Mus musculus: one gene and its partners. The main gene of each other region encodes a partner of the protein of the gene in region 3 in a complex. Links are inferred from orthologs where the notes say so. Each region holds a gene or a part of one and is shown on either strand. Other genes may lie near its edges. The genes, in order: Gpr4, Htr6, Gnas, Gpr174, Htr1a, Gpr12 and Fzd6.

Region 1 (4,273 bases), on a different chromosome or scaffold from region 3:
CAGTTTCCAATATTCCAGGCGTCTCCCGGCCCCAAGATTCTGAAGTTCTATTGTTAGAACCCTCTATGATTTCAGAAAAAAAAAGAAAAAAATAAAATAAAATAAAACACACGCTATGACTTTCATAATCTATTATTAAACCCTGGGTGATTTTTATCTTTTCCCAGCAAATGAATACACGTTTCCCTTTTCGCTCTTTGCCGAAATGAGAACGCTTTGTAAATAGGTGAACCCTACTTCCTCTTTCCCCCCACATTCCTGCTCTGACTTAAAATATTCTGAGGTGCTGAAGGTTCACAGAGTTGGGGGATCAGGATAGCTGATCGCTTGCCCCCCCAAATTATATTCTCCCCACCTCAGAAGGGACGAACCTAGAAACCCAGGCTGCTTCTGACCCCTTGCTCAGCGGTCTGGCCTCGTCCCTCCCTGTTCACACCAGCTGAGTTATTATTTGTCTAGACACAAACCAAATTATAGGCCCTGTCCCGGGGGAGCAGTGGGCTTTGAGGGGAGGGTCAGGAGACAGGGGTGGAGTTAATTCACTTGGCTTCTGTCTGTCTGTCTGTCTGTCTGAAACTCCTCCCCCTCAACCCCTCAGGCCAGGCCACCTCTGGTCCCTTTCTCTCTCCACCAGCAAGCCCTCAGAAATATCTTTTCTGCTTCGCTCTGCAAACCCTCCCTTCTGGTCTCCAGCCATTCATACCCAAGTCTGGCACAGCTCCCTACTCACTTAGCGGACCTCATTGCCCAAATTAATCCGACTTAGTGGTAGTGCAAGAATTCAGGTCTCCAGATATGGTCAAGGGAACCTAGGTCTCCGGATATGGGCTGCGGTTAGGCAAGAGTCCTAAGCCCTGAGGCTGGCGGTAACTTACTTCTGCTCTAAGTCCTCAGTTTCCCTGTGTGTAAAATGGAAGGGGCGTGGCCTGTGTGGTTCCCACAGGTGTTTTGTAGCACACAGCTGTGGGTAGCATAAACTTTCAAGATATCAGCACGCATATGCACAGATTAAAGGGCCAGAACATCAAAAGGGCCTTGGTTCTCTGTGCTTGTCAGGGTTTCAGCATTCCAGGTCCTATCTATCATTCAAAGACAGAAATTGGCCCAGGCTGGCCTTAGACTAAGATTCTCCTGCCTCAGCCTGAGCTACAGGCCTGTGCCACTACAAGAGTCTTTTGAGACAGCGTGTCATGTAGCCCAGGCTGGCCTGCAACTCCTAACCCTCCTGCCTCTCACCTTCCTAGTGCTGGGATAACAGTCAGGTACCGGCATGCCAGCCTCCAGGGCTCCCAGGTGGTCTGCGTTGGGAACCCTTGCCCATCTGACTCAGTAGCCATTCCTAGGAGAACCCCAAACCCCAAGTTGATCAAGTTCAACCTTAGAGACATGCTGGGAAGCCCTTTTGGTAGATTTCAGGGGGTGTAGCTAGTCGGAGGGTCTAGAAGGAGCGCCAAGGTGTTCCCCATCATTTACACTAGTGTCCCCAGTACGAATCCAGCTTGAGACACACACCACCACCACCACCACCACCACCACCACCACCACCACCACCACCAAAGCTTTGGGAATTCTGGAGCTTTGTCTTAGCCCGGTTGAGAAATGCTGCCCAGGAGTTCAGTTCCAGGGAAGGGGAGTAAGACAAAGCAGGAAGGAGTTAACAGAGACCCAGCCAAAATTCTGGAAGGGAGGAAGGAAGTCCATTCCCCCCCACCCCCACCCCCAGCCAGGAATTCCTGAGACAGGAGGGTGGGGTAGGTGTGACCTCAGAAGCCATGGGTGACTACAAAGTAGGTACTAGAGTCATGGTGTCACTCAGAGTCCATTTGCTCTGGATTGCAATCCCACTGTCCCCTACCCCAATCCTAAGCAGCCCCACAACCTTGAGGAAAAGGTTCCAGGATGTCTCAGGACGTAGGGAGAGTGATGGGGGCAGAGGCACTAAGAGCCAGAGAACCAGAAAAGAGAGGGTGGGAAGAGACACACTGAGATGGATATACAAAGTTGGGGTTTGTTTGAGTTGGGGACATACAAAGAAAAAAAGGAGGGGGTCTCACATAAACAAGGGAATGGAGGCCAAGGATGAGGTAGAAGGGATCCAGAGGCAGATGGGAAGAGCAGGTAGGGGACCCCAAAAGATAAAGAAATAGAGTCCATTGGGTTTGTTGCTGAAGAACACCTACAACATTTAAGGGGCTGAGGCAGGAGGATGGCCAGCCAGTTTAAGGTAAACCTGAACTGTACAGACAGAATCTGTCTATAAAACGCCAGAGGGTGGAGAGTCGGGTGTGGTGACATATACATGTAATCCCGGTATACTCTAGGAAACTGAGGCAGGAGGATTGCCGTGAATGTTAGGTCAATGTGGGCATGAGAGTGAGTTCAAAGATAGTTTATGGTATGCAGTGAGATCGAGTGTGTGTGTGTGTGTGTGTGTGTGTGTGTGTGTGCGCGCGCGCCCGCGAGACAGACAGAGAGAGAGAGAGAGAGAGAGAGAGAGAGAGAGAGAGAGAGAGAGAAATGAGAGAGACCCGGAGGCAGGGGATCTTAGGGACCCCAGGCTCAGGAGGGAGAAGCAGAAAAGATGAGTTCTCCAGAGCCGAGTGGCGGAGAGGGGTCGCTGCGGGGAGACTGAGGCAGCGGAGCGGCCACCCAGAGTCTTGGACCTGAGAAGGGGTAGAATGGGAACGGAGGGATAGCACCCACCTGCTCCGCGGCTGGGCTGGGCGACCGGCGTCTCTGACTTGGTCCCGACTCTGCACAGCACAGGGACCCGGCGGGCGCCCCCGCGGGGCAGGACAGCAGCGACAACCCCTGGCCCGGGGCTGGAGTCGGAACCCAGGCCCCGCCCCAGCCAGGCCCGCCCCCATTAACCCCTCCTCTGCCGCTCCCCTGCACCCCACCGCGTCCTCCCCCCCCACCTCAGGAACTCAAGCCTGGAAATCTCACCTGCTGCTTCAGGGGTACAATCCATTAACTCCTTCCTTACCCTCTCTCCAATTCCACACTTCGAATTTAAGCCTTCTTCTGGGAAAGGTAGCTTAGCTTGGGACCTTCCTTCCTGTTGCTTCCTTCTTTGAAGAGCCCCCTCCCTGCAGGCCTCTGTTAATAACCTTCTCCATATCCCTCTATCCCTCTAAGGGACCCAGAACAAAGGGGTTTGTCTCAGCAGACAGGCGATTGCTACTGATGCTGAACTCAATCCCCAGGACCCACACGATGGAAGGAGAGAATGGGATTGTGCAAGTTGTCCTCTGACCTCTGCATTGTCCGGTGCCATACACCTCAGATAGATAAATGTAAAGGAAAACATGTTACATGGTGGCCTCTTAAGTATCCACCTCAAGTCGAAGGAGCCTTGGGGGTCAGAGTTTAGGCCTTGCCTCTGTTTCTTCCACAGTCAAAGTAGTCAGACACAGTCCTTTTCTCAACCTGTCTCTTGTCACTTCACAGAGAGCATAATGTAAAATCTATTTTAAAAAAGTCTCGTTCTGGGGTACCTGTGCATGCCTGCACTCTCTCAGCACTTGAGAGGCTGGGACAGGAGGATAGCTGAGAGTTTTGAGGGCAAAGTGGGCTAATGAAGTTCTATCTTTAAAACGTTTCGACTTGGCTGTCCAGGACACCCTAGTCTGCCCTCTAAAAGTCTGATGTACCCATAGATCACTTCAACACCTCACTTTGCCAGGACTGTACGTTTCTATCCTTTCCTGATCATCAGCCTCCCTGCTGGCGGGAGGGCCATTCTTGAGTTCAGGTTGATTACTCTTGTGTGTCTGTTGCCTGGAAGTGAAATTCCCATTGTTTTCAGGAAGTGTGCAAAGGTTCCAAAGAGCCGCATTGCCCTCTTTTTATCTCGGTCGGTCACTTCCTGCACAAATTAGTCCTGAGAGGTCATTTATAGACTCAGGGACTTCTGATCCAACAGGAATACAGCCCTCCAAAAACAACAGCAGTGATGGTGTTTACAATTCTAGTTTACATAGTTATTTTATCTTGGCTGAGAAGATAGAACCTATGGCCTTACACACACTAGGCAAGAGCCACACCCCAGCCCTCACTGGGGAATTCTAGGCAGGGGCTCTCTCACTGAGCCACACCCCAGTGCCTCACTGGGGGATTCTAGGCAGGGACTCTACCACTGAGCCACACCCCAGCCCTCACTGGGGGATTCTAGGAAGGGCTCTGTTATTGAGTATACCACTCAGTATTGTGTTGGTTGTTTCAGACAAGATTTTATTATGTAACCCTGGCTGATTAGAGATTCAGAGAGGTC
Region 2 (3,183 bases), on a different chromosome or scaffold from region 3:
TATGCTGGGGAAACTGGGCCTCTGTGTAATTAGGAAACCCACTGAAGGCTACGCAGATGATCAGAGATGGAATTGCTATCAAGTCTAGTCTCGGGACCTCTCACCTGAGCTCTAAGGCCTTGTGTCTGCATCTTTTCTGTTCCTCCCACCTCCCCTCGGTGGCAGGGACAGAAGTGGCCTGTCCCCATTGTGCATGTGGAGAAATAAGTCCCATGGAAGGCTGTGGGTGCCACAGTATTCAGAAACTCAGTGCCCCTCCATTCTGTGTCACTTATCCACTTTACAAACATATATGCCATTCATGCTACCTTTACTACAAACTACTGTGTCCCCATAGAAAAGTGACAGCGATTCATTGTGGGAGCTAGGGAGAGTGTCACAGAACATGCTAGGCACAAAATCAGATCAGAGCCCAGGACACTTGTGGTGGAGAGACCTTTACACAACTGTTTTCCAAGCACCTGGGGCTTCAGTAGGAGATAGTCCACCACACATCCACGTCCTTCAGCTTGTGTTTATTGAGTCCCTCAGGCAGGCCCAGTGGCAGAGAAAGCCGGAAGCACCAGAGCCTTGCTGCCAGGGCCCAGTTGAGCACGGTCAGCACCAAGGAGAGCTCCTGGCCATAGGGAGAGAGTCCGGGAGCCCGGGTCGCTGGAACACAGGCTCAAAGAAAGACCTGCAGCTGCTGAAGGGGAATTCAGTGTGGAGCAGCATGGAGTAAGGGAGTCCCCTGCCCTTACCCACAAATGCAAGCCCCGTGCCAAACCAGAGCCCACCTGCCTGTCTGTGGCTTCACCCCCAAGCCAGGGGCACACATCCCTCTTCAGCTGTATGCTGCCTACCCAAGCAGCTGTTCTTTCTTTCAGTGACCCTAGGAAGAACCAAAGGGGACAGGCAGGATGAGGGGCTGCTCTGCCTCCATCAGCTGGGGAAGCTGGGGTAGAGGAAACCCACACTTAAGGTTGTACAGGATCTGTCACCATCCCCTGGGCCTCTAGAGGCAGAAGAACAGGATGGGACTAGAAAGAGTCCCTGAGTGGTACAGTCTCCACCCAGCAAAGCAAGGAGGCTGGGAGCCCAATCTGGGCTGGAATAGACAATGGGGCTGAGATGTGGCCCCGTGGAGAGCGCTTGCCTAGTATATGTGAGGCTGACCTAACAGAAAACAGGAGGCCCTAGGGACACAGCTCCACTGGTAGAGTGCTTTCCCAGAATGCATGAAGCCCTGAGTTTCACCCCCAGCACCATATAATCTGGTGTGTGGTGTATCCCTGTGACCCCAGCACTTGGGAGGTAGAGGCAAGAGGATTACAAGTTCAGGGTCATCCTTGGCCACATAGGGAAACATGAGTTACTTGAGAGCCTAGAACAAATCAAAACAAAAGGAAGAGAGGGAGGGAGGGAGGGAGGGAGAGAGGGAGGGAAGGCTGGAAGAAGGAGGGAGGGACACTTGCTACCCTTCTACCAGAGCCAGAATCCGGCTAACCAAGAGTTAAAGCAATAGGATTTACCACCCACTGGCCCCTCACAGGTTCTGGGCATACCATCCACATTGTCTTACAGGTGGTATCACTCCTACTCTACCTTGAGACCTGTGCCAAGCCCAAGAAATGCAGCATACAGCTGAGGAAAAGGTCATATTTCTGGCTGCCCAGCCTCCAGCCTAAGCTACTTCTTAAAGTTGCCACCCCCCTCCTAGGGGCTGGCAGGTCTGAAAGTTCAGCAAAGGCAGACTTGGCAAAGCTCATGAACATACAATGTCGATTGAGCCCATCTCCAGAGGGGTGGGCACTTTGAATAAGCTCCCCAGAGCCTACAGGAACCCCAACAACCCAGAGATGGCACTTTGGATAACAGGATTGGGCCAGTCAGGAACTGGGGTGTCTAGAGGAATACGTTCTTCCCACTTAACAAAAAGGGCTGAGGACTGATTGCTTTCCTGCTGAACTGAACCAAATGGCACAGCTCCGAGACACTGCCCCCCACCCCCCGCCAGCCACACTACACAAACCACAAGCAACATTGTACTGGAATACCCTACGATGTTTCAGATTATCTCTCATGTCAAGGAGCCTTCAAGTAGAAGATGGGGGCTAGCCGAGGATCCCTCAGGACACTCGGCATGCTCTCGGGAGACCTACCACCTCCCACTCTTAGGGAGAATGGGCTGAGGCCTCTGGGAATGTGGCCTCCGCTGGCCAGCTCTTGACCTGGTCAGTTCATGGGGGAACCAAGTGGATGCTGCCGTATCTCAGGCTCCACAGAGTCTGTGACGAAGAAGTTGACCACAGTAGGGGCCCTGGTGGGTGGCGGGGGGTCCCGGGTCGCCTCTCCAGGCAGCAAAAGCTGGGCTGTGAGCTGCAGGCCCGAGGTGCCCCCTGAAGCTGAGTCTGAATCTGAGTTGGGTGGCAGAGGCAGGGGCAGCACCTGCTGCAGGCTGAGGCCTGGCCTGGCACCACTGTGAGAGGTCCACATGGAGGGGGAGGCGGGGCTGGCCCGGTGCTCCGGGGGACAGTGGACACACGGCACGAACCTGCCCAGGGCCCTCTTGAAGTCCCGCATGAAGAGGGGATAGATGATAGGGTTCATGGTGCTATTACAGTATCCCAGCCATGTGAGGACATCGAAGAGACCTGGAGAGATGCAGTCACATACGGCCTGTGGAGAGAAGACTTGTCACACTTTGTCCCAGGCAGGGACTCAGGCTACCCCACCCAGCAGGGACAGGACAGACACACAGACACAACTAGCACAGATGAGCCATCCTCCTCCCTCCCACCTTTGCCCAGTGAAGCATGGCATCTCTCTCTCTGGCCAGGCCTAGACTAATTCCATCTTCACTGTCTTTTTTTTTTTTTTTTTTTTTACCTGAGCTATGCTGGCCACAAAGAAGGGCAGCCAGGTGACAAAGAACATGCTCAGCAGGATGCCGAGGGTCAGGCTGGCCTTCAAGGCCTTCCTGCTATGCTTGGTGGTCAGACGCCTACTGTCAGCAGACTCCATCCCTGGGCGTGGTGTCCTGGGCACCTGTGGAAAGGAAAGCCATATAAGTTGGCTGATCTTAGTCACAGACTGAACCTCAACCCTAACACTAGACTGAGTCCTAGCATACCAGCAATTAACTGAGCCCTGATCCTTGACTGGTCCCCAGCTGAGGCACTAAGACCAAGTCCTAGAATACCA
Region 3 (2,193 bases):
ACCGTGTCTCCTTTTCTTTCAAGCTTCCTGGACAAGATTGATGTGATCAAGCAGGCCGACTACGTGCCAAGTGACCAGGTACGCGTGCGCCTCTGTCCTCAAGCCTGGGGTTCCACGTTGCTGGTTCTTCTCCGGGCAATTAGGGTGAGACCTACTGACCCCCCTCTTTGTTCTAGGACCTGCTTCGCTGCCGTGTCCTGACCTCTGGAATCTTTGAGACCAAGTTCCAGGTGGACAAAGTCAACTTCCAGTAAGTGAATCGTTGTCCCGCCCCAACTATCTGGCCTGGAGAGTGGTGGGCCCAGGGTAACCCAGTATTTTCCGGTTCCAGCATGTTCGATGTGGGCGGCCAGCGCGATGAGCGCCGCAAGTGGATCCAGTGCTTCAATGATGTGACTGCCATCATCTTCGTGGTGGCCAGCAGCAGCTACAACATGGTCATTCGGGAGGACAACCAGACTAACCGCCTGCAGGAGGCTCTGAACCTCTTCAAGAGCATCTGGAACAACAGGTGCGTGGGGTCTCCCTGACTTGGCTCAACCTGTAGGTCTGCAGCTTGCTCTGGCCCCAGCTCTCACCTGGCCCCTCTCTCCTCAGATGGCTGCGCACCATCTCTGTGATTCTCTTCCTCAACAAGCAAGACCTGCTTGCTGAGAAAGTCCTCGCTGGCAAATCGAAGATTGAGGACTACTTTCCAGAGTTCGCTCGCTACACCACTCCTGAGGATGGTACGGTCATGGCGCTGGTTTAGTCAGGTGGTTCTTGGGCACAAGGTGTGGCTGAGAGTCCCTAGCCCCTCCCACTATGGGGAAGCCAGGGACATTTATTTCCCTCATTTTCATAGGCAGAGATCAAGAGTTTGGGGGTGATGAGCTACAATGGTGTCAGACTAGGTCTTCTAAGCTAATTAGCATAATTAATAATTTTTTTTTTTGTAGCGACTCCCGAGCCGGGAGAGGACCCACGCGTGACCCGGGCCAAGTACTTCATTCGGGATGAGTTTCTGGTGAGTAGGACTTGTAGTCCCTTACTCCTCCTCACGAGTATTCTCCAGTCAGTGCTGGATTTGGAGACTGAGCGGTCCAGGCCTTCCATTGTATTGTACTATGAGTTGATGGCTGGTCCTCTGGTGGTGGGGTGAGGGGCTCCTGGAGAGGGTTGCTTGACCGAGCCCCTCTCTCTGCCTACAGAGAATCAGCACTGCTAGTGGAGATGGGCGCCACTACTGCTACCCTCACTTTACCTGCGCCGTGGACACTGAGAACATCCGCCGTGTCTTCAACGACTGCCGTGACATCATCCAGCGCATGCATCTCCGCCAATACGAGCTGCTCTAAGAAGGGAACACCCAAATTTAATTCAGCCTTAAGCACAATTAATTAAGAGTGAAACGTAATTGTACAAGCAGTTGGTCACCCACCATAGGGCATGATCAACACCGCAACCTTTCCTTTTTCCCCCAGTGATTCTGAAAAACCCCTCTTCCCTTCAGCTTGCTTAGATGTTCCAAATTTAGTAAGCTTAAGGCGGCCTACAGAAGAAAAAGAAAAAAAAGGCCACAAAAGTTCCCTCTCACTTTCAGTAAATAAAATAAAAGCAGCAACAGAAATAAAGAAATAAATGAAATTCAAAATGAAATAAATATTGTGTTGTGCAGCATTAAAAAATCAATAAAAATTAAAAATGAGCAAAATACGGTGTTGCTCTTTGATTTGCGGCAAGTGGGTCCCAGGGTCCATGGGTGGGATTGGTCTCGGCACCCACTGGGAGGTGGAGAACAGGTCCCAGGGCTAAAAGTGGGCTGAGGAGTTGGCACTATAGACTGGGGGAACCTAGTTTTTGGCGCATCAAAGCTTCCACCCATTATCCTGCCCCCAGGCAGTTGCTAGCTGCCCTTTGACCAATTACTTCCCCGAATGAGGCAAGCAGCCTACAGAGAAGGCTGGGGATGTGATGGGTGGGGGAGATGGGAGTTATTTGGGAAACATTTGAAAGCATTCCCACTCCAAGATGAATTAGTGAAAATTAATTAAGCACATTTAAGTTAAGAGTTTTGGGCATATGATTGGGCATGTGATGGGGCACATGTGGGGAGGCCTAACACATGATTGGGCATAAGATGGGGGCATACGCATGGGGGCCCAACATATGCTTGGGCATGAGAAGGGGGACACATGGGGGACCAACATATGA
Region 4 (3,500 bases), on a different chromosome or scaffold from region 3:
AAAGCTGATGACTCTAGCTGAGAGAATATGTGCGCAGTATTATCAAAATTTCACCATTTACGTCTTAAAGAGTTGGTCCAACATTACCGCATGGACATGTCACCAGCAATGATATTGAAATGCAATATTCTAAACAGGTATTGTCATAAATATGTGCATTCCCCATGTAAGTAATATAGACCACACTGAAAGGTTATGAATACTTCCTGTGAATACTGTCTTGATGAGGTACTGCAAATGTGTTCTGGTATTTGCATTCCAGGCCATGTTCAGTTCTGGGTTTTATTTAACATAGTTCAGCTGCCACGGTAGAAGTGGCATGGTTACTTGCAATTTTGTATGATTTTGTATGGAGTTGGATGTTATCAGGCAAATCTTGTCTTGAAAGGCGTCTTCTGAACTCATTAGTGGTAAAATAATATATAACTGGGTCAAGACAGGAGTTCAGGCTTGCCAGACACAGGGCCACAGAATGAAATATTAGAATCACTCTTCTGGCAAAGCAACTCTTAATTTCATTGGACTTAACCAGGAAATCTAAAGGAAAGCTGAAGTGATAAGGTACAAAGCAAACTAGAAACACCCCTGCACAGGTCAGAATCATCTTCAGGGCTTTCTTTTTCTCTCCAAGATGTTGAGAAATGGGATATTTATTTTGTAATGACAAAGCTGTCTTCCAGGTACAGTATAAAACAATCATAAGAGGAGTAACAAACCCAACCACCTCTCCGATAGTTATCATGGCAACAGATTGGGCCAGATTAACATTCCTGATAGGAAGATCCACAAAGCATTTGGTTCTGTTACCTGGAGTATCATCATTGGTTCTGAGGAGAGGAAAGAGCAGGCAGGCAAGGCAGATGATCAGCCAGCCAATAATGCTGATATACAAGTCATATTTCTGTTTGCAGTCATTGAAACGAAAGGGGTACATGAGAAACCAAAATCTTCGCACACTGATGCAGACCAAGAAGTAGATGCTGGCATACATGTTTACATATTTCAGGTAGAAACAAAACATGCAGAGACCAGGACCAAATGGCCAGTCATGGTTCAAGTAGTAAAAGATCCTCAGTGGCAGAGAGAGAATCTGTAATAAGTCAGCAATGGCTAGGTTTATCATAAATACCACAGCCCTTTTGGTTTCTTTCATATAGCCGTAAAATACCCATAAGGCTAATATGTTCCCTATAAGACCTGGCACAAGAATAACAGTGTATGTCACTGCATAAATGAAGTACCGGAAATCTGTATTGTCTCCATCTGTCTTGTTACATGTAAAATTATCAGTCATGATTATTTCCAAGAGAAATTTTCTTTGCCTACTGGTCATTCAAATTTAAATCCACAAGTAACTTCTGTACTGTCCACAAGTCAGTGGCTCAGAGAGACAGAGTATAAAACAAACTTTTGCCACAATTGTTAGCCTCTACACATGATTTGGGAAGTCTAAAAAAACCTGGCTGTATTTATGCCTCAGCTTTGTATACATAACCACAGAAATCCATTGTGCAAGCACACATGAAAAGTTGTTAAAATGTTCTTCTCTTGTTTATTTTGTGGTAAGGTCTTCCAGGCCAGGACATCATGGAAAGAGGATATTTCTCATTTGATTCATAACTATGTCATACATCAACTTCTCAAATTCCCATATGATGGTTATCACTTTACAGGTGTTTGGAAGGACGTTTCATGTTCTTTTGGGGAGAGACATCTGGCACACAGAGAAGAAAGGTTTGCTTCAGTGCAGGCTGGCTCAGCCACTGTTTGAAGATGACTTATTTTGATGGTTCTTTTTTTTCCCAAGACTTTTTCAGATCTGCATTAAAGAAGAGAGAGAGAATAAAAGGCAAACCTGCAAGTAAAAGAAAATAAACTTGTTACACCTAGCGTTTTTAAATAAGAAAAACTAGTGTTTAATGGTCACATCATATCCAGAAAACAACACTTCACAAAATTCCTCCCCATCATCTAGGTCTTAAATTCTTTACTCTTCTTATCCTTAATATTTCCTGAGCCTCACTTTTTTTTGGGTGATATCTAATTTTGCTTAGGGCTAAGAAGTCATAGTCACTTAGTCTTAGCATTTTGGTCAGTTAGGAGTCTCTGCATTAATTGCTTCCCACTGCAAAAAGAGGCTTTTCTAACCAAGGTTGAGAACATCACAGAGCTGTGGGTACAAACAAATATTTAGAAAGCATTTTAATATGATCATGTTTTAGCAAAACAACACAGTAGATTCTCCTCTAGGGCAGATGGCCTTTCTAGCCATAAGCTTTTGGTAAGGTTTACAGTGTCACTCACAAATTTCCTTCTATGGAACAGACCTTAAACCCAATCAGAATGTAGTTGTTTATCTCCCCAATCTTTGTGCCACTATTGCACCGTAGTGCATGTCTTCCCTACTCTATCCCCAGGTTAGTATTACAACATGGAGAAGACTATTAATGTCTTTTTCTTCCAGAGGCCTAATAGTATCACCCTCACAATAAAAACTGGCTAGCCAGGAAGAAGTTTCCAAGTCAGTTTAAAATTAATTCTTATATGTATTACAACCAAAATATGTGGTATCTTCAGCAATACTAGGATATGACCATCTAATTACAGTGGGCAACCACAAACAATAGCAGTAGCCTGACTTGTATTTTTCTTTGAGGGGGTGTTTCTCTGGAGATTCCCTAACCAATAACCCATCTGGAGGCTATCCTATATGTGAATTAAGATTCTTTTTGCAGTCATGAATTTATATGAAGCTAGGTTCACATGCTCAAGATTAATCCTATCAAAATTCCAGTATGAACAAGGCCTTGTCCCTAGATGTGGAATTACTGGCAGTTGATAACTGCTAGGGGGAGAGAAAATAATTTTCTTTGTTGGTATGGCTCCTGGTAGGTTTCCCACCCTCCAGTGTAAGCAGATTGCAATGGACTCAGTATATTATTTAAAAACGCAAAACAAAACAGAAGATGACAAATTTGTGAGGGAGCCATATCGGGAAGCCTGGATAAGGTGGAATGGAGTTGTGTATGTGTGTATGATCAAAATCCATTGTATATAGGAAAAATAAAAAATAAAGCACATGTATAAAAATATATTAGTATTAATAGAATTTTGATTTGAGTGGGGATTAATATGCTACAGGTTCTATAACAGCAGTTCTCAACCCACAGGTTACATCCTCTTTGGAGATCAAATGACCCTTTCACAGGGTTTGTCTGAGACCACAAGATAATGCAGATATTTATATTATGATCCATAACATTAGTAAAATTACAGTTATGAAGTAGCACCAAAAAACATTTGTGGCTGGGGGCTCACCACAGCATGAGGAACTATAAAAGTGTCACAGCGTTAGGAGGGTTGAAAACCAATGTTCTAGAAAGTGCAGAAAAGTAAAATGAGAAGGAACTTGAAAAATAATCCAGCACTTTGTTACAAAAAATGTCTAAGCCAACAAGAAGGGAGCCTGTTAGAAATTCAGAAGAATCTCAGCCCCTCCC
Region 5 (4,277 bases), on a different chromosome or scaffold from region 3:
TGAGGTGAGCCATCCCGGGCATCTCAGCACCCTCAATGAGCCCTCCCTGGCCAGCAGTGGGCGCCTTCTGCAGTCCACAAGGCCTTTCCAGAACTTACAGAAAAGCCAACAAACTACAGGAATAAAACTCTTCCTTCCAAATAGTCTGATTGTCAATTTCTTTGGTGAGTGCTGACACCAGGACAGGAAAACATCCGCAGGCCTTCTTGGCTCTTCCTTTTGGGCCTGGCTTCTTGCTTATAAGTCCACTCCAGCAGACATCTTTGTCACTTGATTTTGAGTTAAAACAAACAAACAAACAAAATACAGAAAGTGGGTGCTGTGCATTGGGGAAAGGGATCTTTTGCTATTCAGCAAGGCAAACAATTCCAGGGCACCATAACCCAAAGTAGTTCCAACTTTCCCAGACCAGCCGTGAGTGCATGGAGACCAGAATCAGCAGTGTACATTGACACCCAAAGGGAACAGATGTTTCTAGAGCAAGAGGGAGGGAGAGACAGAGCAGTCTTGAACCTCAAAGTTCCAGATATAGGGCAGAGGGTGGCAGTCCTAGTGGGCATGGTAGATGTCCATACAGTTTATATTTTCTGTTTGGGTTTTCTTCCTTGAATCGCCGAGGTTTAAACTTCCATCGTGAAGAATTGGGATTTCGAATAGAGAGGAGGTTATTGCAACTATCAAAACTGATCCTAGGGCCAAAGACCGAGCCAATAATTTTACAAACAGATGCTAGGGGTTCTCTAAGATTTCTGCAAAAAGCACTGTCCCCTTAAAATGAGATAGAGAGAGAAGATCTGAAAGCCATGGGCTAAGAAGCTGCGTGTTCTAGGAAAAGCAAGTTTTCTTAGGTGTTGCTTCCAGGGCGGGGATATTGAGTGAACAGGAAGGGTCCTGTAAGCCCTACACTCTTCCTCCACTTCTTCCTTCTCCATCACCACCACTATTACCACCACTACCACCACCATCATCATCATCAGCGGCAGAACTTGCACTTGATGATCTTCTTAAAAGCGTTTTGAAAGTCTTTGTTGAAATAAGCATAAATAACTGGGTTGAGCAGGGAGTTGGAGTAGCCTAGCCAGTTAATTATGGCACCCAACAACTCAGGCATGTGGCAACTGCTCTCACAGAAAGGTAGGACCAGGGCCACAATGAAAAAGGGCAGCCAGCAGAGGATGAAGGTGCCCATGATGATGCCCAGTGTCTTCACTGTCTTCCTCTCACGGGCCAAGGCCATCTTGCGCTTTGCCTCAGCAGTGCGCTCATTTTTTCTCTCCAAGCAGGCGGGGACATAGGAGGTAGCTCCTGATTCGCTGGGCAGAGGAAGGTGCCCTTTGGAGTTGCCCACTCGATGCACCTCGATCACCTCCAGGGTGGCGTCGTCCTCACCCTGTCTCACCGCCCCATTAGCGCACGGAGTCCCCACCGCCCTGTTCTCAGCACTGCGCCTGCAGTCCCCACTACCTGGCTGACCATTCAGGCTCTTCTTGGGGGGCGGGGCCGACGATGTTCCGAAGCTGGTGCCCGCTCCCTTCTTTTCCACCTTCTTGACCGTCTTGCGGATTCGGAAGCGCGCGGCTCTGAAGATGCGCCCATAGAGGACCAGCATGAGCAGCAGCGGAATATAGAAAGCGCCGAAAGTGGAGTAGATGGTGTACCCGTGGTCCTTGCTGATGGTGCACTCGTTGGGGTTCGAGCGGTCTTCCGGGGTGCGCCAGCCCAGCATAGGCGGGATGGAGATGAGAAAGCCAATGAGCCAAGTGAGCGAGATCAGCGCAGCGGCGCGCCGGGGCGTCCTCTTGTTCACGTAGTCTATAGGGTCGGTGATTGCCCAGTACCTGTCTAGCGCGATGGCGCACAGGTGCAGGATGGACGAAGTGCAGCACAGCACATCCAGGGCGATAAACAGGTCACAGGTGACCTGACCCAGAGTCCACTTGTTGAGCACCTGGTACAGAGCAGCCATGGGCAGCACCAGCACTGACACCATGAGATCGGTGACCGCCAAGGAGCCGATGAGATAGTTGGCAACATTCTGAAGGGAGCGCTCCAGGGCGATGGCAGCAACCACGCAGGCATTGCCGAGCACCGCGCAGAAAATGAGCGTCCCCAGCAAAAGAGAGGTGATCACTTGGTAGCTGAAGGTCACGTTGGAGAGGCCAGTATCGTTGCCGCCTGTCCCGAAGGGCTCCAGGGACGTTGTGGTGTTGTTGCCCTGGCCAAGACTGAACATATCCATGCCTGCCTGCACTCCCGCTGGGGTGGGGGGAAGGGAGGGAAAAAGAAATGCAAGGGGATCTCCCTCGCCCCTCCCCCTAGGGTCTTCCTTCCTTTCTGGGGAGTTTCGAAGGGAGGGGATCTAGAGACTGGAGCGGGAAGTTCTTACTTGCTCTGGCGAAGGCATCTGAGAGGAGCACTCACCGGCGCTCTCTTGCTTGGCTCCCGCGGGTCCTGAGCGCTCAGAGGCTCCAGCTAGGAAACTGTAGTTGGGCTGAAAGCATCTTCCAAATCTCTGGGTGCTGGAGAGATGGCTGTAATATCTGTCTCGCGCTGTCCATTTCACTTTGTCGCTGTCCAACTGGCTGCGTGGGGGCCGGACTCTCCCGAGTAACTAATAGTCTCAGAAGTCTCTGGATTCCAGAAACCCCATCCTCCCGGGTCACTCGATGACCCTCATCTCCTAGTTCCTTCTCTCTGTCTCTCCATCTCTCCTGCCTTCTCCAGTCTGCTTCTCTTTTCCCAGCTTCCTTCTCCCGGCTTCCTCCCACTGGCCTTCCCTTCCAGTTCCCCTTTCCTTCTCACCTCTCTTTCTTTAGTCCTGTGTGTCGCTCAGACAGCTAGTCTCCCTTCCTCCCACGTTAACCCCCACCGCCATCCAACACTTCCCTAGTCCCGAGTGCCTCCTTCTTCTGGGTCCCCGCCCTCCTCTCCCTGTAGCCAGGAGTCTTTACATTCCAGTCCACACCACACTCAGAATTCACTTCATATATCTACTCTGATCTGCTAGTCAGATCAATGTTTTAACATACTAAACCCCGCCTCTTACCTATTAAACTAGAGGGGGAAAAAAGACAAAAGGAAAAAATAAAATAAAAGAAAGAGATAGAAAGATATATTTCCCCACCGCAGATCCCCTTTATTTCTGTCAGCTTCTTAAATAGAGCCAGGTTCACAGTGTGGCTATCAGGCACGAGGAAAACCCTCAGAGACTCTGAAGGATGGGAAGCTGAGTCGACCACCTTCTAAACTCTACCCTCTACATTATCAGGTAGAGAATGTGGGTCTCAGCTTCTTAAGAAACAGGTTCATTTACCATATTAACCTATCACTGGTGCCTGTGACCTTTTCATATTATCCTTGTGTATTGGAGGGAAATTAGAAAGGACAGGTTGGAGGACAGGATCTGAAAACAGTCTAATCTCAAAGAAAACATTAAAAATTCACTTAAGTGTGTATTCCAAACACACACTCTTCAGTCACTCTCTTCATATCAATGATATTAACATTTCCCATAGATTTGAAGCAAATAAATTCATGGAAAGAAATTGTTTGCCTGTATATTGTTAACAATGGCTTTCTTTTTCTACTGGTCTTTGGACTTATGTCTCTCTCACTGGAGTCTGCAGCCCTCCAGGGAACTTAGTGGCATCCCTGTCTCCAGCAACTGCGAGTCTCTCTGAAATTGGGTTCAGCACCCGGGACAGCTCTGTGTAGTAAGAGCTTGCTTATGCCGCCACCTTCCGGCAAGTGCTTCAGAGCGCCATTTAGAAATATTTGTCATTAAAAAATTAAGTAAGTATTAAGGAAACCCAAAGACTCTACGATATCTATTTACAACCAATGTATCAAAACCCAATCTGTGAACCTATACTTCCAAAAATATTTGTAGTAGCAAATTACTACTTATGAAGTAGCAACGAAAATAATATCATGGTTGGGGAGCACTGCACAACATGAGGAACTGTGCTAAAGGATCACAGCATTAGGAAGGCTAGAATATTATAAAATAAATAAAATCCTTAAATGTCACTTTAAATTTTTTCTTCAACCATTTCTTTTCTCTTTCTTTCCCTTGGGTTTTTATACCAAGCCAAGTATATTTTCTAGCTCCCTTTGAAAGCTTATGACATCTATCATTCACAAAAATCTATAGGAACAGTGGCAGAAAACACTTTCAGCTACTTATGTTGTGGTGCAGCAGCTTGTGTTATTAGAACTCAAGTGTTTTATTATGGGATGGTGACAGTATTACCTTTTGCATAAAGAAATAATTTGAT
Region 6 (4,234 bases), on a different chromosome or scaffold from region 3:
TTTGTGTATATGAAACCATTGACCGCTTTTTTTTTAAACAACCTGTTTATTTTATGTATATTAAGTGTTTGCTTGTATTGTGTGTACCTTGTGCATGTAATGCTCCAGGAGGCCAGAAGAGGGCGTCGTATTCCCTGGAACTGGAGTTGCAGATGGTTGTGAGTCACCTTATACGCGCCTGGAACTGAACCCAGGTCCACTGCAAGAGCAGTCAGAGCATGTAACCACTGAGCCACCTCTCCAGCCCCACATTGCTCATTTCCCATTGCTCTGTTCTAAAAATGCTTCCGCTTATTACAAAGAAATGAAAAGAGACAGGAGCATCCCTTCACAGCAGTACCTGCTACCTGGGATAATGTTGATTTTTGTCTTACCACTGGTCCAGGGTGTGTCTGTGAGTGCTAAGATAATGTCTTCGTGAATTTGTTCACGCAGGCTTTCAAACGGTCCTTGACGCAAGTGATGTCTCCTTTCCATACACACGACTATTAAACTCCATAGAACCTCGTTTCTTAAAGTGTGACCCGCAGGTCGGCATCACCAGCATCTTGGGACTGACGCCGGGACCCCAACCCCAGAACTGCTGGTTTCTAAGTCAAGTTTCAGAAGTGTTGCCGCAGGGAATACAGGACTCAGAAAGAGTCCTGGAGCCTTTTGGGGGACATGAGAAGACTCAGCAGAAAACTCAACAGCTCCACGTGTCCCAAAGCAGAATGTCCAGGGAGAGAGTTCAGAAGCAGTGTGAGAGCTCAGGTTGGGCGGAACGGATCTGCTGCATTATGGCAAGGTCACACCGGGTTTAGTGTGTTGCCTTAGTGAGAAAGGGGGAAGGGGCGGCTAGAGGAAGGTTGTAACCAGGGAGGTGAAGGGAGGGTTTTGGTACCAGGAGCATGACACGGTAGAGACAGCTGCTGATGGATGCGCGCGGGGCTGGGGCTGGGGTGGGGGAACATGGGGTAAAAAGAGATCTAAGACTTGGAGCCTGGTAGGCTGGAGTAGGAATTTCAGTGAGACACAGGGGAGGCAGATGCATCTGATGATAACCCCATATGAAGGGTCCTCAGGATCCTTTGCCTTGCACAACATTGAGGTCACACGGAAATAGGACTTTTCTCCTCCCACCTTTAGGCTGGAGAGCGTGATTAAATTTAAGATCTGATCCGGTTCCAGGATGAGAGACACAGGCTAGTCCTTTTCCGGCAGGCAACCTTCAGGATCTTAACCCTAGACTCCGCGGATGAGGTACAGGAAACAATAAATTAATAAGTGTCACTTGGGTACTTAAATGAATTGGGTTTGGGCCAGTGCCTGAAGGAAGCTTTTGCAAGAATGCCCTAAATGATTTCCACTCGCGAACGGCTCCGAGAGTGCCTAATAAGTGCAGCTGGGCGATCTAAGTAGCAGCAGCTCCTATCCAGTTAAGCGAACGTCCCCAAGGGAACAATAATTTGCAGACCGGCCAACTGCAATCTAAGAGAGGGAGTCGCTTGCTGTTGTAAGTCTCCTCCGCCAGCCCTAACCTGCTTACCCCGCATTCCTCCTGTTCATCCCGAAAACCCGGCCGTTTACAATTCTTTAGGGGAAAGCATAAGAAGCCGAGCCCCAGGGTCAAGGGCGCCTCGGGGAAGCCACAGGATCAAAGTAGGTCGCCAGACTCTCCGGCCGTTCGAGTGGGTCTTCGCATGACTGTTGCAGGCGGGCGTCCACGGTGGCGGGCTCCCGCCCCTCACGCAGCTGCGACCTGCGGGGGCGCGCGCAGCCTCGTGGGGTTCCCGCGGATGCGCGCCCGGCGGGGAGCGCGGAGGGCGGAGAGCCGGGCGCGAGCACCGCAGCTCACCTGCCGCGGGCGCCACCACGGACGTGCCACGCGGGTGGCCCGAGCTATTCGGCAGCACTGAAGGAGCCACCCCTCGGCCAGGGCGTGCCAAGGTGACCCCCGGTAACCCCCTGCCCCGCAGGCTGCGCGTCCCCGCTGCTAGGGGAGCGGTGCCAAATGCATGCATATCTTTCTCTCTGTCTGTCTGGGCACCTCTGTGGTACACACCTACCTTTTTTGTAGCCCTTGCACTCTGAGCGGTGCACATGGGAGAGACTGGGACCCCACCCCTTTGTTTGAGTCTGGAGGTGTGTTTGGGGGTGTGCTCGCGCGTGAGGTATGTTTGGGAAGGGTGGGAGTTTGGGGCCCTTAAAATATTCCACCCTCCTGCAGACTTGTGGCTGCTGGGCGGTGCTCTCTCAGCAGCCCAGATGTCAAACAGTTGTTGGTTTTCGGCATGGGAGATGCAATTAGCCAATGTCGGTTTTCAGCGTTTTGGCAAGTGTGCGAGTGTGCATGTGCCGCCTCGGGAGTCCTGATCCGTGTTTCCCTCAGAGACAAACAGCATTTCGGTTGCAGACTTTAGCTTTTGTTTTTAATTCCTGAAGCTCGTGGCATTTTGACACTGATAGCTGAGCCCAGGGTTGTCTGTCTTTCTCTGTGTGTTTTGCATGATCTTGGATTGGCACCCTACTGTACCCAAACATTAAAAAGCCTGTCTTTCCGTTGAAGAGGACAGGGGTTAAAATGAACGAAGACCCGAAGGTCAATTTAAGCGGGCTGCCTCGGGACTGTATAGATGCCGGTGCTCCAGAGAACATCTCAGCCGCTGTCCCCTCCCAGGGCTCTGTTGCGGAGTCAGAACCCGAGCTCGTTGTCAACCCCTGGGACATTGTCTTGTGCAGCTCAGGAACCCTCATCTGCTGTGAAAATGCCGTTGTGGTCCTTATCATCTTCCACAGCCCCAGCCTGCGAGCCCCCATGTTCCTACTGATAGGCAGCCTGGCTCTTGCAGACCTGCTGGCTGGCCTGGGACTCATCATCAATTTTGTTTTTGCGTACCTGCTTCAGTCAGAAGCCACCAAGCTGGTCACCATCGGACTCATTGTCGCCTCTTTCTCTGCCTCTGTCTGCAGTTTGCTGGCTATTACTGTGGACCGCTACCTCTCGCTATATTACGCCCTGACGTACCACTCCGAGAGGACCGTCACCTTTACCTATGTCATGCTAGTGATGCTCTGGGGAACCTCCATCTGCCTGGGGCTGCTGCCCGTCATGGGCTGGAACTGCTTGAGGGACGAGTCCACCTGCAGCGTGGTCAGACCTCTCACTAAGAACAACGCTGCCATCCTCTCCATCTCCTTCCTCTTCATGTTTGCTCTGATGCTTCAGCTCTACATCCAGATTTGTAAGATTGTGATGAGGCACGCCCATCAGATAGCCCTGCAGCACCACTTCCTGGCTACATCGCACTATGTGACTACCCGGAAAGGGGTCTCGACCCTGGCTCTCATCCTAGGGACCTTTGCTGCCTGCTGGATGCCTTTCACCCTCTATTCCTTGATCGCCGATTACACCTACCCTTCGATCTATACCTATGCCACCCTCCTGCCCGCCACCTACAATTCCATCATCAACCCTGTCATTTACGCTTTCAGAAACCAAGAGATCCAGAAAGCCCTCTGCCTCATTTGCTGTGGGTGCATCCCTTCCTCGCTGTCTCAGAGAGCTCGGTCTCCCAGCGATGTGTAGCAGCCTTCTCCTCATAGGACGCTGCCTCTACCAAGCGCTCCCACCTCCCAGGGCGGCCAGTGATTTCCTTCCTTAAATTCTTTGCACTGGATCTCACAAGCAGAAGCAATGACATCTTTTAGACACGTATTGACAGTGGAAATCATCTTACCAGTGTTTTTTAAAAAAAAAACAAAACAAAACTCGACTTCTCGGCTCAGCATTCTGTTGTTTGGTTTGGGAGTTAGGATTTGTTTGTTTGTTTGCTTGTTTGTTTGTTTGGAGGGTGTAATGGGACCTCATGTGGCCATGAAATTATACAAAAGTCTCGGGATTTTTTAACCTAGGCTTGAAAATAAATCAAAGTTTTAAAGGAAACTGGAGAAGGAAATACTTTTTCTGAAGGAAATACTTTTTTTTTTTTAATCAAGGTAGATCTTCCATTCTGTATGTATCTAACAGGATAGGAGCTTTGCCATATAACCAAAATAGTTTATATAATTACATTTGGAAGGGCTTGTGTTTATTTCTAGGAATTCAGTAATAAGTGACCAGTAACAGAGGCGCGAACTCCTTTCTTTCCTTTCAGCAGTAGTGACTGCTCTTAAGAATCACTTTGCAGTTTCTCTGTGTTACAGTTTGGTATGCATGGTTACCTGTGGTAGTCAGATCACTAATTGCAATATT
Region 7 (4,259 bases), on a different chromosome or scaffold from region 3:
CTAAGGTCACTGTCAGCATTCAAACCTAAAATGTATGTAGCTACTATAAAGAGAGGAAACCAGATTAAAATAAAATGCTTTCTGAACCCTTACTAAAGCATGTATTAAAAAACATTATCATCAGAGGCGGCCAGACTGAACAATGTAATTATTGCGTGATGATATCCACTATACACTTATGGGTCTGATTTATCAATGGAAGTCTCCCTGTATTCTTTGTAGAGTGTTCAACAGAACGCCTTGCAGGGCTGAGGATGTAGCTGAGTGGGCGAGACCTTGCAGTATTTGAGAGGCTCAGTGCTCAGTCCTCAGTGCCCCACCCATCTGGTAAAAAAGAGGGGGGTTTTGCACTAGTTGGGAAAAACTACTCAAAGATTAAAACACTATAACTTGTACATCTTTTAAAATTATATCTTAGTATTTAAAAACCACCCAACCCAGACAGGAGTCTGTCTACAAAGAGGTAGTCAGACAACTAACTATTCCAGCAGACAAAGGAAGACCTTCAAAGCTGCAAGATCAAATACAGTTAAGTTTAAAACCCCTCTCTAGATTATATTTCTAGGAGTTTCGTCTCTCAGAGACAACCTGAGGAAAAAACCTTTACTGGCTTCAGCTTTTTTAGGGAAAGATTACAAAACCTATACCCTTGTCTTTTTTTTCTTCATGAAACTTATCAACCCAGCAGATCTGTGTGGCAGGTTCCTGTCTCTACAGGCAGCTCTTTCTTCCCACACCTCCTGGGACATTTTCATATCTCTAAACCAGAGTCAGGTAACTGAGGCGCCTGAGGCGATTGTTAGTGTCACACTGCCCTTCGCCCTACAAGTGGACTTTCTTTTAGCAAGTATCTTATATAAAGAAAACACTTACATGCTATGCCTGAAAGTCACCTTTTAGTAAAACATTCTCTTTAGCGCCAAAACATTCCAATAATTTATTAGCTTTGGGAAAACTAAGTCAAATGAATTTGACAAGTACTTTTAAAAAACATTTAAGTTTCATTTTAGCTCAAGCAATATAGATTATATGTTCAGTCAACCATTAAAAAAATTCAGAATTTGGGGCCGAGCGTGGTAGCGCACACATCCCAGCAGAGGCCGGTGGATCTCTGAGTTTTGAGGCCAGCCTGGTCTAGAGAGTGAGTTCCAGGACAGCCAGGACTACACAGAGAAGAACCCTTATCTTGAAAAATCAAACAAACAAATAAATATTAAAAATTTAAAAATTCAGAAATCACAGTCTTGGAGAAGCAATGACACAAATTCAAAAAAGCAAAATATTTTTATTATCTGTAAGCACCCTTCATTATGAATGCAACCTTTTTATAAGCAAATTAACTAACCGTCCAACTGTAGACAAAATATGACAGCGGGAGGAGGGGAACTTAATGTTCAAAACTACTTTAAAAAATATGATTGGGAAAAAAACTATGTTTAAAGATTAAAAAGTAATAGTTAAGAGAAAAATACTACGTATAAACTAATTTTCAATATAGGCATGAAAATCCACTCACCCCCATTTCCACAGCAGCGATCCCCTGGTCATAATGACCCATCAGGTTAGGGAAGAACGTCATGTTGTAAGTCATTTTCATACATCTGGGAACGGTGATTGGCTCACAGGTGAAAAGGCTGTGTCCTCTTACGAGGGGCAGAAGAATGCACGCCAACAGAAACGGGGACCTTTCCATCTTGCCAGACTCCGATTTTACCACATGGCTTGGATTATTCTTATGCTCCTTTCCGCATCAAAAAGATTCTCAAATCAGAGATAAAATGTACAAATTCCTCATTGCATTCTTTGTACCATTTTGATAGAAGCTGTTTCCTGAAAATGAATTCTGGGGCAACTGCTGTAAAAACAAACCCAAAGTGTGTTATCAGTAACATTCGTCACAAAGTCAAATCCAAGTCAAATGTCATGCTAGGTAACTAATGCTACAAAGAAAGAAAAAAATGTGGAAAATTCCATCCTAGCAAGAGACATATCCACCTGCCCGGGCGCGGATGTATCACTTTGCTAAGGAAGCCTCAATTCTAGGGAACTGCTGATGAAGGGTTATACTGTCTAAAACACCGGGTAAGAGGAGGCACGGCATAAGCAAGTTGGAGCGAGGAAAGGGGTGATGGTGGTTAGAAGAAAGGGGGTCTAGGGGCCCCTTGGCCATCTCACTATATGGGGAAAATGAGGACAAGTGACCCAGACAGAGTTCTTCAACTTTAGCTCTCTCTACAATCGCAGACTTCTGCGGATGTGCCTTTCCTGTTTTCGCAAAGGCGAAAATCAGTCTGCTGGGGTTGAGCGAGGTCCCCCTAGGAAGAGTGGGCCTGGGTGGTGACTCCTTTGCGCTTCTTCACCTCCAGCACTTTCCCCTTCAACGCGCTCACCCCGTGCCCCCTGTACCCCGAATTCCACCCAGCGCAAACCTTCCACGGTCAGCTCATGGGGACTGCGGGAGGCTCCCCTGAGCCCCCGGGGTCCCGCGTCGGGCACCTGTTCCCGGCCTGCAGCCGAGCAGCTCCGTCCCCGGCCTGCGGGGACCCAGAGTCACTTTCCAGGAGTTGCGTGGGACTCCGAGGCGACGCACCTGCGGCTCCGATCCCGGCCGCTGCCCGCCCGCCCCGTCGGGCCGGGGACGCCTCACCTCGGGCGGCAGAGGAAGGTGGCTGTCCCTCGGCGTCGCGCGGCCCCGCCACCCCAGACAGCCGGGGCGAGCTTTCGGTGGGGGGCAGCGTCCGGGCCTCGACCGCCTCCGGGGCCGCAACGGGGAGCGAGAGCTGGGCGATCCCGCGAGACTGCGCCGCCAGGTCGGGCGGGCAGGTTGGGGCTCGCGGCGGCGGGACCGGCCCTGCGCCCCGCCCAGCCCAGCCGGCCGCGGTGCGGGGGCCGCCGAGCTGTCGCCTCCGCTCGCACCGCGGACCCAGGCGTGAGACCCAGGCCGTTGGGGAAGTGCCCTGCAGAGCACACTTTCCGTTCTGGAAGCGAGGAGCCTTAGCCGCGGGGATCTGCTCTGTAGTGAGTGGTAGCTGAGATCAGAGTTAGCGAGGAACTTCCTGAGTTCTTGGCTGAAAAGCCTATTAACTCGGGGAGTCTGGCCACCACCTTGAACGGCAGGTGCCAGCTTCGGCCGGTTCTACAGCTTTACTGCTGCAAAAGCCCCACAGAAAGTTAACTGCTTTAGTCAACGTGGTTTTGAGAACCAGCTCTGCCACCATCACTTCAGATAAATTACCAAAAAGGGGCGTGGGGATGTGTAGAGTCCTCTCTATGTAGACATGATAAATGAATACAAGAATGGTTACTAATTTTTGAGTCCTTTACATTCAATAATGCCTGATATGTAGGACTCTGGTATGAGGTACAAAGGAACTTGTTGGCAAACACAAAGTGTCTTCTCTTCTTTCTTTCTTTCTTTCTTTCTTCTTCTTCTTCTTCTTTTTCTTCTTCTTCTTCTTCTTCTTCTTCTTCTTCTTCTTTCTTCTTCTTTCCTCCTCCTCCTCTTCTTCCTCTTTTCTTCTTCTTCTTGTTCCTAATGGGGATAGAACCCAGGGTCTTGTGCATACTGGTACTAGCATGCCTACTATGTTAAGCTACAGTCCCAGCCTGTAAAATAACTTTTAAATGGAGACTGCTGTTAGCTGAATCACTGTGCTGCTGAAAAATGTCACATTTCAGTACTTGGGACACCACCGAATAACCAGACAAGATTTGAAATCTGGAAACATCAACTAGAGATGAATTTTGGAGAACTCTTTCCCAGCTTTATCAAAAAACTTAGGACAAGCCGGTCATGGTTGCACACATCTTCAGTCCCAGCACTCAGGAGGCAGAAGCAGGCAGACCTTTGAGTTCCCAGACAGCTAGGCTACACAGAGAAACCCTGCCTTGAAAACAAAACTAAACAAAAAAAAGCTTAGGACAACTGTAAAGGACGAGACCATGTTAAAGAAATGTTAATACTAATTGTCTTAATCTTAATATTATTAAAAGTCAGACAGTTTATGTATTGAAAAATGGGTTTCTATGTAAGATGTTTTCTATGTAGAAAATTAACCTTCTACGTGGGAAGAATATTTCTCAGAAAAATGTTAAGTTTCTATATAGAAGGAATATATCTCAGCTGAGTGTGGTGGCACAGGCCTGGAATTGCAGTACTTGAAAGGCCAAGACAGAAGGATCTCAAATTCAAGACCAACCGAGGTTTCAGAGCGAACTGAATGTCAGCCTGGAATACAAAGTGAGAGCTGTTGGTTGAA

Evidence for each region.
Region 1: the proteins of Gnas (region 3) and Gpr4 are in contact, whole or in part, in a cryo-EM structure (PDB 8Z9O), measured with the Homo sapiens proteins. The link is inferred for Mus musculus from reciprocal best matches to the Homo sapiens genes GNAS and GPR4. Residues at the interface, in NP_000507.1 of Homo sapiens: Gln31, Lys34, Gln35, Arg38, His41, Asp215, Lys216, Val217, Tyr358, Tyr360, Phe376, Arg380, Asp381, Ile383, Gln384, Arg385, His387, Leu388, Gln390, Tyr391, Glu392, Leu393, Leu394; in NP_005273.1 of Homo sapiens: Gln45, Arg49, Asn50, Leu52, Asp114, Arg115, Ala118, Val119, Ala120, His121, Pro122, Leu123, Arg124, Arg129, Arg130, Lys132, Tyr201, Ile204, Ala207, Val208, Gly210, Ser211, Val212, Ser213, Thr214, Glu218, Lys221, Ile222, Leu225, Asn290.
Region 2: the proteins of Gnas (region 3) and Htr6 are in contact, whole or in part, in a cryo-EM structure (PDB 7YS6), measured with the Homo sapiens proteins. The link is inferred for Mus musculus from reciprocal best matches to the Homo sapiens genes GNAS and HTR6. Residues at the interface, in NP_000507.1 of Homo sapiens: Arg38, Ala39, His41, Asp215, Lys216, Val217, Phe219, Leu346, Thr350, Tyr358, Cys359, Phe376, Arg380, Asp381, Ile383, Gln384, Arg385, His387, Leu388, Arg389, Gln390, Tyr391, Glu392, Leu393, Leu394; in NP_000862.1 of Homo sapiens: Arg124, Leu127, Ile128, Pro131, Leu132, Arg133, Lys135, Leu136, Ile211, Gln218, Gln221, Val222, Leu225, Thr226, Lys265, Ala266, Thr269, Leu270, Phe323, Met324, Arg325, Asp326, Lys328.
Region 4: the proteins of Gnas (region 3) and Gpr174 are in contact, whole or in part, in a cryo-EM structure (PDB 8IZB), measured with the Homo sapiens proteins. The link is inferred for Mus musculus from reciprocal best matches to the Homo sapiens genes GNAS and GPR174. Residues at the interface, in NP_000507.1 of Homo sapiens: Lys34, Gln35, Arg38, Ala39, His41, Val217, Phe219, Thr350, Asp354, Gly355, Tyr358, Cys359, Tyr360, Phe376, Cys379, Arg380, Asp381, Ile383, Gln384, Arg385, His387, Leu388, Arg389, Gln390, Tyr391, Glu392, Leu393, Leu394; in NP_115942.1 of Homo sapiens: Phe44, Tyr47, Arg53, Ala54, Val55, Ile56, Phe57, Met58, Ile112, Arg115, Arg116, Phe119, Leu120, Met121, Pro123, Phe124, Phe126, His127, Asp128, Cys129, Gln131, Ser211, Leu212, Asp214, Met218, Gln220, Asp221, Leu222, Glu224, Lys225.
Region 5: the proteins of Gnas (region 3) and Htr1a are in contact, whole or in part, in a cryo-EM structure (PDB 9GL2), measured with the Homo sapiens proteins. The link is inferred for Mus musculus from reciprocal best matches to the Homo sapiens genes GNAS and HTR1A. Residues at the interface, in NP_000507.1 of Homo sapiens: Ala39, Asp215, Lys216, Val217, Arg342, Arg347, Thr350, Ala351, Gly355, Tyr358, Phe376, Arg380, Asp381, Ile383, Gln384, Arg385, His387, Leu388, Arg389, Gln390, Tyr391, Glu392, Leu393, Leu394; in NP_000515.2 of Homo sapiens: Asn69, Ala71, Asp133, Arg134, Ala137, Ile138, Pro141, Ile142, Tyr144, Val145, Asn146, Arg148, Ile218, Ala222, Arg225, Ile226, Lys228, Thr229, Lys232, Val233, Asn325, Arg327, Asn328, Lys332, Arg339, Lys342, Thr343, Thr346, Leu347, Asn404.
Region 6: the proteins of Gnas (region 3) and Gpr12 are in contact, whole or in part, in a cryo-EM structure (PDB 7Y3G), measured with the Homo sapiens proteins. The link is inferred for Mus musculus from reciprocal best matches to the Homo sapiens genes GNAS and GPR12. Residues at the interface, in NP_000507.1 of Homo sapiens: Gln35, Arg38, Ala39, His41, Val217, Asp323, Asp343, Leu346, Arg347, Thr350, Tyr358, Cys359, Pro361, Phe376, Cys379, Arg380, Asp381, Ile383, Gln384, Arg385, His387, Leu388, Gln390, Tyr391, Glu392, Leu393, Leu394; in NP_005279.1 of Homo sapiens: Met79, Arg138, Ser141, Leu142, Tyr143, Ala145, Leu146, Tyr148, His149, Ser150, Glu151, Ile220, Ile223, Val224, Arg226, His227, Ala228, Gln230, Ile231, Gln234, His235, Phe237, Lys248, Gly249, Thr252, Leu253, Ile300, Arg304.
Region 7: the proteins of Gnas (region 3) and Fzd6 are in contact, whole or in part, in a cryo-EM structure (PDB 8JHB), measured with the Homo sapiens proteins. The link is inferred for Mus musculus from reciprocal best matches to the Homo sapiens genes GNAS and FZD6. Residues at the interface, in NP_000507.1 of Homo sapiens: Gln384, Leu388, Gln390, Tyr391, Glu392, Leu393, Leu394; in NP_001158087.1 of Homo sapiens: Arg226, Ala310, Lys314, Ser316, Cys317, Val396, Gln407, Lys409, Leu410, Phe413.

Annotation. Positions count from the first base shown.
Region 1 is NC_000073.6:19,211,065-19,215,337, reverse strand, and holds the start of Gpr4 (G-protein coupled receptor 4), read right to left. Parts: upstream 2,801-4,273; 5' UTR 2,704-2,800; intron 1-2,703. UniProt on the Homo sapiens protein: Proton-sensing G-protein coupled receptor activated by extracellular pH, which is required to monitor pH changes and generate adaptive reactions. Activated by an optimal pH of 6.8-7.2.
Region 2 is NC_000070.6:139,059,206-139,062,388, forward strand, and holds the end of Htr6 (5-hydroxytryptamine receptor 6), read right to left. Parts: intron 3,028-3,183; coding exon 2,869-3,027; intron 2,659-2,868; coding exon 2,215-2,658; 3' UTR 501-2,214; downstream 1-500. UniProt on the Homo sapiens protein: G-protein coupled receptor for 5-hydroxytryptamine (serotonin), a biogenic hormone that functions as a neurotransmitter, a hormone and a mitogen. Also has a high affinity for tricyclic psychotropic drugs.
Region 3 is NC_000068.7:174,345,052-174,347,244, forward strand, and holds the end of Gnas (protein GNAS), read left to right. Parts: intron 1-23; coding exon 24-78; intron 79-176; coding exon 177-250; intron 251-331; coding exon 332-511; intron 512-597; coding exon 598-728; intron 729-938; coding exon 939-1,006; intron 1,007-1,190; coding exon 1,191-1,337; 3' UTR 1,338-1,693; downstream 1,694-2,193. UniProt on the Homo sapiens protein: Guanine nucleotide-binding proteins (G proteins) function as transducers in numerous signaling pathways controlled by G protein-coupled receptors (GPCRs).
Region 4 is NC_000086.7:107,290,378-107,293,877, reverse strand, and holds part of Gpr174 (probable G-protein coupled receptor 174), read right to left. Parts: intron 1,856-3,500; exon of another isoform or gene 1,820-1,855; 5' UTR 1,334-1,819; coding exon of another isoform or gene 1,295-1,333; coding exon 287-1,294; 3' UTR 1-286. UniProt on the Homo sapiens protein: G-protein-coupled receptor of lysophosphatidylserine (LysoPS) that plays different roles in immune response. Plays a negative role in regulatory T-cell accumulation and homeostasis.
Region 5 is NC_000079.6:105,442,216-105,446,492, reverse strand, and holds the start of Htr1a (5-hydroxytryptamine receptor 1A), read right to left. Parts: upstream 2,801-4,277; 5' UTR 2,240-2,800; coding exon 974-2,239; 3' UTR 1-973. UniProt on the Homo sapiens protein: G-protein coupled receptor for 5-hydroxytryptamine (serotonin). Also functions as a receptor for various drugs and psychoactive substances.
Region 6 is NC_000071.6:146,582,440-146,586,673, reverse strand, and holds the start of Gpr12 (G-protein coupled receptor 12), read left to right. Parts: upstream 1-1,434; 5' UTR 1,435-1,929; exon of another isoform or gene 1,930-1,939; intron 1,940-2,269; exon of another isoform or gene 2,270-2,548; 5' UTR 2,549-2,563; coding exon 2,564-3,568; 3' UTR 3,569-4,234. UniProt on the Homo sapiens protein: Promotes neurite outgrowth and blocks myelin inhibition in neurons. Receptor with constitutive G(s) signaling activity that stimulates cyclic AMP production.
Region 7 is NC_000081.6:39,004,821-39,009,079, reverse strand, and holds the start of Fzd6 (frizzled-6 precursor), read right to left. Parts: upstream 2,801-4,259; 5' UTR 2,648-2,800; exon of another isoform or gene 2,011-2,647; intron 1,856-2,010; 5' UTR 1,694-1,855; coding exon 1,517-1,693; intron 1-1,516. UniProt on the Homo sapiens protein: Receptor for Wnt proteins.